2 linked regions of the Drosophila melanogaster genome follow. The protein of the gene in region 1 purifies or fractionates together with the protein of each later gene. This does not show direct contact. Each region holds a gene or a part of one and is shown in the gene's direction. Other genes may lie near its edges.

What was found.
Region 2: the proteins of klg (region 1) and apolpp fractionate together in Drosophila melanogaster (co-fractionation; one study listed by BioGRID). This does not show direct contact.

The regions. Positions count from the first base shown.
Region 1 is NT_033777.3:22,897,233-22,902,284, forward strand, and holds the start of klg (klingon), read left to right. Parts: upstream 1-2,051; 5' UTR 2,052-2,378; intron 2,379-5,052.
Region 2 is NC_004353.4:1,058,994-1,063,968, forward strand, and holds the start of apolpp (apolipophorin), read left to right. Parts: upstream 1-1,975; 5' UTR 1,976-2,143; intron 2,144-3,684; exon of another isoform or gene 3,685-3,926; intron 3,927-4,975. Other genes in the region: Zyx (zyxin), read right to left, coding at 108-358, 426-843, 1,420-1,611. UniProt on the Drosophila melanogaster protein: Constitutes the major component of lipophorin, which mediates transport for various types of lipids in hemolymph. Acts by forming lipoprotein particles that bind lipoproteins and lipids.

The DNA.
Region 1 (5,052 bases):
TACTATTAATTAATTACAAAAAACAAAATATAGATGTTGCATATGAATTTAATCTACTGCGATTGAAGTCAAATTGTGCAAAATTAAAAATGAATTGTTTTGTTGAATTTAATGGGACAAACTTTATCTTTAAAGTGCCCGAAGGACGAGAGTTTTACACGGCGAATTCGTATAAATTCAGCTCATTTCACGCTGACCGCCCCCACAGATTGTTCCACTTGCTTTAGTGGACATGGCACGGGCCAGATTGCGTAATCGTTTTTCATCCGCGAGGACCCCTGAGAGCCCACCTGTATTGCCTCCCCCCACCACCCCTTCCACTACCCACGGCGTTCGGTGTGCTTGATGTTCGCATTTTCGAAAAACAAATTTATTTTCAAGCGCGCCCAATAAATTGAAACTGACTGACCCACCGCCATCGCCTGTTGACCGTTGACTCGGCGGCAGTTGTTTCTATTTCCATTTTCCGGGAAAAATTGTGGGATGGGCGAGGCGGAGGTTGAGGATTATGTCTTTATGTGCATATTTTGGAATTTTATAACCGTTGCGTTGCGTCGCTGACAGTTGAATGGAGGGGGGGAGGTGGGGAGCGTGGAACGCGGACAGATTCCTGTTTTTCACTTTTCAGCCAGATTTCGCCATTACTTCTAATGAAGTCAAAAGCCCCGTTGCTACAAGAGCGAAAACTGAAACAAAAGCTGAAACAAAAGCTGAAACAAAAGCAGTGACAAAGGGCCAAGGGCAAGCGGTCGCGGGGGAAAAGCGGTTGGAAAATATTCAAATTAATTTCAGGACATCTCCTGTTGGACATAAGTTCCTTTTGACCAGGTTGTTGTCGCCATATTTTGCGTGTTCGCCGCCACTGCCGACGTTTTTAATCCTGACTTATGGACTTCCGTATTCGGTTTCGTCATCAGCGTAATGCCTGCTGCTCTGTCGGTTGGGATGGTTGGTTTTCCCTTTGTTTTCCGCCGTACAAACTGCTGAATCGCTTTTTACAGTTATCCGGATGACCTGTGGGTGGTTGCTGCCCAATGCCCCTGGTGCAAATGTTGATGTTGATGTTGTTCCTGCTGTTTAGTTTTAATTACACGCGAGCCTGCCCTCGGTGGTCACGCCTCGATAACTTGATTTTCCAGCTCTAACTCATGTGAAAAGTGACAGCGTTGCGTTCACCTGGGAACTCGTCGCGTAACTTTCACTCACCGAAACTAGCAGGACATGCCGCAATTTGTCTCCCACTTCGAAATGTTGCCAAAGCAGTTCGAATGTTGCCAGCCGATTTCCAGCAACACCACGCTTCCAGCAACAAAGGCTGAAGTCAGCCCCTCGTTTCGGAGCAAAATTCGGAGTGGCATTCGTGGCGAAAAATATGATAGGGGTAGTTTTCATATGCCTCTCTCTAGGCAAAAAGCTGACGAAGAGTGACTGCTGAGCTCAAATAGCTTTAAGCGACAGGTGAACAACATGATATGACAGCATTACATGATCAATTTATTATATGTGGCTTGTGCTGAGAAGTGGCTAAAAGTTATTTAAATCGCAAAAGCAAAATATTGGATGATAAAAATGAAAAATTTGATGTAAAATGTACTTGCTGTAAAAGTTTGAATTTCAAGCTGTCATATGTCATACCTTCAAAATAAGATAATAGTTAAATCAGTTGTTTAAGTATCAGTTTCAAAAAAAAAAGAGTGTGAGTACACGAATTTAAGTAAAAAGAAAGAACAATCCAAATAAACGATATTTGTACTGTATTTTGTTATTGTCTTTTGTAAACAAAACTGTTAATTATGTTTTATGGCCAAAGCCAGGGCAGCGCAGCCTAGTGTCTAACAACTTGAGTTGGTAATGCCCATTTCGCCGTGGCACAGTTGTCCTGAGGCGAACTGGGAGAGAGCCAGCCATCTTTCGCTCTCTGAGCAGTGCCCTCTCTCATCGTCGCTCGGGTGGCCTCGTGGGCGTAGCCGAAGTGCACCGAAGCAACACGAAGTGTTGAGCCGAACCCGAATGCAGGGCGCTGAGAAACGACGGCGAACGGCCAGCAGTGTTTCAGTTGAAAGTGAACCCTTCGACGCAGTTGACACGAATCGCGCGCGACTCGTTCTAAGTGTTTTTCAGCAGGAGCAGAAATCCTGAAGCTGAAGCCAAAAGACCCAGCAGGACATCAGCTGTGCCAGCGAAAAGGATTCTAGCTGCAAGATAATAGTTATTTGTGCAGTGTGCTAACCTAAAAGCAAGCAGTTCTCAGACTGCAACTAACTAAAACAAAGCCAAGTGAATAAACTAAGCCAATAAGATATAAAAGTGAAAAACTTTAAGGATAATAAAACCGAAAACGATCGCTCGTCACATGAGTTCCAGTGCCGCTGGCGCAGGTAATAATTTGCAGCATATTAGTGAATTCTTGTGGGAGCTGTTCGCACTGAAATATTCAAATTGGCACCGAATGTCGCTTAGAATATAAACGTGTACGTGCTGCAAGGACTCGACTTGAGCCAGTGTTTACATTTTGGATTTTATGCGATAATACTCAAAGCCATCAGCGGCAGAAGTGGTAGCTTCGCTATATGGTTGGCTGTGTTATACGATGGCTAGGAGCCCAGGTGGGTGGTTGGGTGGCTTTGTGGCTCCTTTACCCCAGCCAGCTGCCAAATAAATAAAGCAACAATAACAGGGCGGGCAATAAAAGCCACCGCCAAGGGCTCAACCGCCGAACGGTCTTAGCCAAGAAGAGAGTCTGCGAAAGTAAGCAAAGTAACAAAACCAATTTTCATTGTTTTGCGGTGGCTTCCAAGTCGCACTTTCCTCTTGTTCTTTTTTTTTTTTTTTGTTTTTTGCAAGAAGCCGCCTTCAGAAACCAGAAGTATAACAAAATTTCCCTTAACACACACACACACATACACACCAAGTGGGAAAAATAAGGAAAATGTGCAAATGCCGACATGAAATGAAGTAGAACTTGGCATGTGGCGTCCTTAGTTGTATATATGTGTATGTGTGTGTGTGGGTGTGCTGGTGGGAAAATGTTTGTGAAAATGAGAAATGAAATAAACACATGCAATGGCGAAAAGCGAAAGCTTCATAAAAATCCGCTGAATTTAAATACTTAAGAGCATTCGCCGAAAGGCATTCCTGCCGACTTCTTCTCATTTGGGCAAAAGTTTTGCGTCCCTGAAAGAAGAGGTAAATACCCAGAAGCTGTGTAAATTAGGATCCAGATCCAGGCAGACTTAATCCCGGAGAAGCAAACGATAATAGGGATATCATACGATGGCGCTGTGGATGGGGCTTCGAGTTCTTCTGTGGCATAAATAAGTCGTTTGCAGCTGTTCGTCGGCATTTATTTGGCTGCCTGTTCAGGACATCACAATTGTTTCTGGCATTTGGTTAACCTGCAAGTATTCCGCATTCGAGACGTGTACACCAATTTCATATGCTAAAATGCTCGCAAAATCGAAAAAGGGAAGCCGGAATCGTAACCACACAGGCATTGGCAGCCCCAAAGGGGCGAAGACACGCGCTGCCTGCCATTTAATGCAATTGATTTGTGTTGCCTAATTCGGTTAGACGCGCTTCTACAATGCCAATTGTGCGAGCGATTCGGAGCACTGAGAGAAAATATGACAGTTAGATTTATTCAGGACCCCATCGGTAGTCTGTATCAACACAGGTTTATCAATAAGAAAAAGCACTAAATACAAATAGTCCAGGCAAACATTTTTCACAAATTTAAAAGAGATTTAAAAAGCCAGACTTTCTGGGCACTTCTCAATTTTTGGCAATTAGCAGATGAGCAAAAAACTTGTTTGAAATATACTTTATGAATGCCAGAGTAATCCGATTACAGATTTTTTCCTGTGCAGCAGCCATAACACTTGCAAGACAAGACAGCCTATCAAGCAATTTGCTCCGAAATTGCCAGTTTTAATTCCATTATGGGAGGGGGTGGGAGTTTGGTTTTGGAGAGGGGAGAAGGGGGGCAAGGCCACTTCACTTGGCTCGTGCCCACATCCAAAAACAAATCCACACCCACACCCACTTGAATGGCTCCTTTGTTTCAGCTCCTTTTTGCCAACGCACACGCACGCCCCAAAAGTTGATTGATATTCAATTGGTAGGCTTTCCCAGTGCTTGCCCGCTTTTCCGCTTTCCCACCGCCAGTTTTCCTCGATTTCCTCCTCCTTTGTTGGCCGCTTGCGGTTTGGATTTGCTGCTACACGATACGCTTTAATCTGCTCAGCAGCCAAGATGGCCAAGGCAATAGGAAAATCGGCGAACATATTGCCGGGATTGGCTTCCCTCGAAGTTCGAAGCCTCGGTCACGCCACAAGTTGTTGGCTCCCCCCCCTTTCCATCCCCTTTAGACGGGTTTTCTTTTCTCCGGCCTTAAGCGCTTTAAGTAATTTATAAACGCCTTTCGACCAGCCGAAACAAAAGCAATAACAACTTTGTTGGATTTGCTTTTCTGCCATGCACTTTGGACTTGGTCTTATTCTTACGAGCATTTCTCCAGTTCAGCATTGTCTTGCCTTTGGCAAGAAGTTGCGTTCAAGCCCAGTTTTTTATTTTTTTTTTTGTCTTGGCTTTTTCTGTGCTATGTGCTGTGTGTTGTGTGTTAATTGAATGCGATTAGGCGGCCAGAGGAGCTTTGTGCTGAGTGCTGATGGCTGTGGTTGCGGGTCGCCAATTGCAGGAGATAAATTGTAGCTAAGCTGGCTAACGAGCTCTTCCATAGTGGTTGTCAAGGTGACAACGCAGCACCACAGGCCATCTAAGCCGCCAGAGCCACCCAAAATCGTGCAAACCACCATCCACGCTATTCATTGGAAATTCAATGCGGTGGCCATATCATTTACGACATCGCCCATTAAAAGCCAGATAGCGGAGGCTTCCGAAGATTCCGTGACCACATTTTTAACATTTTAATTATGGCCCGGGCGTAACGTGATATCTCTGTGTACTCATATTCCGCGGGCCATCGAGATAAAGCTGAAAAATCAATACCAATTTCATGACAGCGATGGCGAACTTTAAGAGGAACGTATTGCT
Region 2 (4,975 bases), on another chromosome or scaffold:
TTGCTGATTGCATATCTTAATTTTTGTCGTGCACTTCTATTAGATGAATAAGATTGTTTATCAGACAGAAATATACTCCAGAGTAATGAACTTCAGATTTTGTGTACCTTGCCTGTGGCATCATGCTGCATCGCATATTGGTTTGCATATATTTGTAAAGGATTCGTTGTCTGGTTATTTTGTAAATAATCAATTGGTTTGTTGAATTCCAAAGTGGCGTGACGAAGCTCACTGTATGAAGAACTCACAGCGCTCTCTGGACTAGGTGGTGGCGGTAACTCATCTTTTTCGTTGTCTGAAATAAAATTAGTGCAGACGGATAGCATCTTTTGCGTTGAGCTATGAGAAGAGTCCATTGCTTTGACATTTAAATTATTTTATAATTAATACTATACAATTTTTATATAAGCATTACATAAACATACCAGTTTCATTAACGTTTGAATATGTACTCGCAGAAATCTTAGTTTCGTCTGTTAATAGTTCTAATGTTTCTATTTCTTTGCGAACAGAACCTAAATTAGAATATATTAAGCTTTTGCTTAAAGTCTTTGAAAGGGGCTTTGTAAAGCTGTTGAGAGGTTGTGTTGGCTTAGCTTGTACTCCCAAAAGACCCTTTTTTTCCATTTGAAGTTTATGGTAAGCAAGAGCTTCTAATTGCTGTTCCAAAATTGCCGGATTATCTAAAGTTGTTTTTCTGTTTATTTGAGTATCAGCAACTCCGAATTCAGAGCTGAGGTATTTTCTAAAAGGCATATGCCCCCTCATTGTTTTCTCGACTCCAATCAGAGGTTGTGAATATAGTGGTTCCCGCGAACACAAAACCTGTCTGCTTGATGGAACCTGAAATAAATAAATATTTATGCTTAAGTATACGTTATTATACACAGTTTTTCAGAATAATAACTTTTTATAATACAGGGTATAATAAGGGTATTATAAATAAAAACTAAGATGTGACATGCAGATTTTAATGACTTTGTACGCTGTGCAAAGTTCTAAATATTGCCACAGTTTGCACAGTTTGGTTTTTACCGAAGTGAAAAAGGCATGCGATAGATATTTAGGTACTGGTACAGTTAAGAATATCCCCTAAATTTACATATGTATACTTAAAACAATATTTACTTAAAAATTGATTATGTTTTTTTTAATGAATTGCTCCTGATATGTCGTGTAACAATCCATTAGTCTGTACTTGTTTTTGATTTCTGTCATCTGAATGGTAGCAAATGTTCGCTCACAGTCCAGCCGATCAATAATATATAAGTATATTACATATGCTTTTGTAGAGGGACGGAAATACCCTCTAAAACGGTACAATAACGGACTTTAAGGCTTAAAGAACAAGCCTTTGAGGAGAATCAATGAATTGCTTTGTATATAACACAAACTGGCTATACTAAAGTATGTATGTACCTGAGGCATTTCATTATATTTTATCGGCGGCTTAGGAGGTATATCCAATCTCCTCTTTACTGATGCATTTTGATTATTACTTATCTTGGCGACTAGCTTCGCAACTTTTCCATGTCCAATACATACAAGCGGTGAGCCTGTGTCACCTTTTGGAAGCGACAGCTCTCTAAGTTGCTGGGCCACAGACTCCATTGAAATTTAACAAAACGCGATTCCGTTTTCCTACAACAATAATAAAAACCTTTTTCTAATTTAAATTAAATCAAACATTCAAAGTCGTGAAATTTTAATTTAATATTTTCACTCCTTAACATTAATGAAATTACACCTGTAATGATGATAGTTTGGTTTGTTTTTAACCTGCATATAATTTTACTATATGTATAAAACAATTATTTTTATAAAATTATTGACATTTCAATACTAAGTGGAAATAAAACTATCGCTTATCGAATTTATGAGGCCCAGCAGTGTGACCTTAACACGAGAGCTAGAAAATCATTCTAGGCGCATAGGCTCGTATTCGAACTTATTAAATATGTAGTACTCACTTCGTACAATCGCTTTATATCTCGAAAGCTAATAAGACCATAGACACACTTAAGCGAGATATTGAAGCTAAATCCATATAAAACATATATATGTAGTTTTGCCTAAACGGCACCTTGGCAATCAAAGAAAATAATCCTAATCTGATTATAGGCGGACTATAAGTCAATGTAAGGTATTGAGAGAACTAATTGTTTGATTGAGACTACTTTAGTACGATAGAATAAATGAATAGAGTGTGAACAAATTCATGCCAAAGGACTTTAATTATTACATAAACATTAAACCGTGCGTTGAAACAATATTGTTATGTATTTTTATTTATAAATCTTAAAATATCAACGAAAAATTCGCCAAAAACATCGATGTCCACCAACATCGATGTTTCTCCACCTCTAACCTAAGTCCTAGAATCGAACTAATCCCAAGTGGGTAACGTGTACATTTTGTTTATTTTAGCAGGTATAGTCACTCCAACGAACAATCGGACACGTGCACTCTTATATAAGATGTGTCTCAAAGTGTCAGTCTGTATGACCTTCCCTGTAAGCGTATAGATCTCAGGAACTATAAGCTAAAAAGTTAAGATTAAGAATGCGTACTGCAGAGACATACGCGCAGAGCCAGTTTGCTTTCATGCCCGCTCTAACGCAGATGTACAAACCGCACAAAATTGCTACACCCATACCTTTCAAAAATATTTGTTTTTTTTATTATATATTTTTCTAATTTCTATCGGTTAACCAATAACATTTTGGCCACGCCCCACAAACCCTCCGAAAACTCCCACGCCCACACACTTTTGAGGAATAATTTTATTTGCATGGATTATATAATTTATTTTGCCTAGCGATGTACCCCAACGCCACCTTTCCAATCCGTCACGAATACATTTATGATATATTTCGATTTATTTATTAATATTTTTTTTTTTAATTTTTTATCGAAATGCCGATAAATAAGGAAATATTTTGCTCTTCCGTTTGTCGAGTAAGGGATATCTGACTGTCGGGGAACTTGACTATAGCTGTCACTGGAAAACTTTATGGGAAAGTTTCATTCAGGGATAATTAGTGAGACAAGTTTGTGTAGAAGCGAACGGATGGCAAAACAGACGATGAACGGCGATATCGACTCCACCGCTTTCCAGAAACTGATCAATAATTGATAAACCCCTGAACAAATTTTTAACTCAAATTTTTATAATATTTCCTTTGGGCCCAAACAAAACAAATGGCTGTCATGTAGGTGGCTTCCGATAAATTCGCTCACTCGACCACTGTTATTAAAAATATTTATAAGTTAACTTTATGAAATAAATCTCGTTTCAACATCATCCGAAATTGCATTTTTGTTCTTCTCCCAGACAAAGGAATTTTAAAATAAATTAAATCTGGTGCGGCTCTTTCAATTTATTTTTTCGTGATATTTGGTTCAGCTAATTTGCTAATAAATGTAAATGTAAATGCGAAGTCATATTACTTCATATTCAAGAAGAAAATTCTGTTCTCTTCTTATCTTCATGTAAGAAATTCACATTAAATACCGTGGAGGTCTGAATATAAATATTAATTTCATTGAATAAAGTTCCTCGTTAATATAAAAATGATTGCAAACCACAGTTGCTTGTAAATAAGTACCATAACGATATCCATATTTTTGAACACCACACCCAATCGTCTAATTGTTTGGCCCAATCGAAGCGAAATTAAGCTCGGTGGAGGAGTATTGTAAAGGATAGGGGAATGACCGATTTCTAAGGAGCCACATAATTAGGAGCCAAAATAATTATTAATTAATCAAATACCTTTTTAGTCAAGTGGTATAAAAACCCTAAATATGGGAAATCTATCATGAAAGGTGCACTTTTAAAAGGAAGCTGACTTGGAATCACTTCACATATGTACGGCCATAGAGCTCAATTCATCAGCGGAATCTTTTCAGAAAATGTGGGCACGGTAATCTAACTTTTTAATGGTTAAAGAAAAAAGATTTAAATGGTTGTAATCAGACAATCGTAACTGACATCCTATTCTACGCTTCTAAACAGTGGTCTCCTGCTGTCACAACGCACTATTAGTGATCATCTTCAAAGCGTGGACTTCCGTTTACGATGATTTATTTACTAACCGGGAACAATACAAGAGTAAACTTCTTTCGAACTGTAATTTTTTCTGTCCGATCACGCAGGCTGCCTTTCTGCGTGCTTATCGAGCAGCGTTTTGCTTTCCAGCAACTTTTAATTACAGATTAAAGTTTCTTATCAGTCGTTAACTGCAATTCAGGAACGAACTTTCATATAAACATATTTTATACATCTGTTCAAAATCAAATAAATATACATGTGTAAATATGTGTATGCATATTTTAAATACCTATGTACCTATGCTTGCATTTGTAAGCATACTTTCATCTATATGAAAAAAGGGCATAAAAATGTATAACAAATTCCATTACAGATGTGTGCAAACATGGATTGCAAGTGACAATCTCTGCAAATGCATATATGTATGTATGTATGTGTGTACTTGCGCATTCACATTAAATTTGGAATGATAACAATTGTTACATCGAATTTCTCAATACCTATACATAAAACATAATTGCTTTAGAGTTACAACTAGTTTTCTTATTTGCACATACAGTTTGTCAAGAAACTGTTTACACACTGTGAAATAAGTTGAATTTTTGACTTTAAAGGTAAAAACTAAGGGTTCTTTGCTTAAATTAAACGCAATTTTTTTCTAAAATATAATTAATCAATATTTATTTTACTTATGAATCAAAAAACGAATTAAAAATATTAATTATACAAGAAAATAAACAACAAATTCCAAGTTTACACACTTTTGAGACTGTCAAGTATATAAATATCAGTTTTCAACATTTATAATCACAATTATACTTTGCATTTCTTACAGTTTTCAACACCTTTAAGAGGAAAACGTAATTTGCGATTTGTTTATTACTTTATTAGCCCAAAGCCATATTTAAAATATTGAAAAGG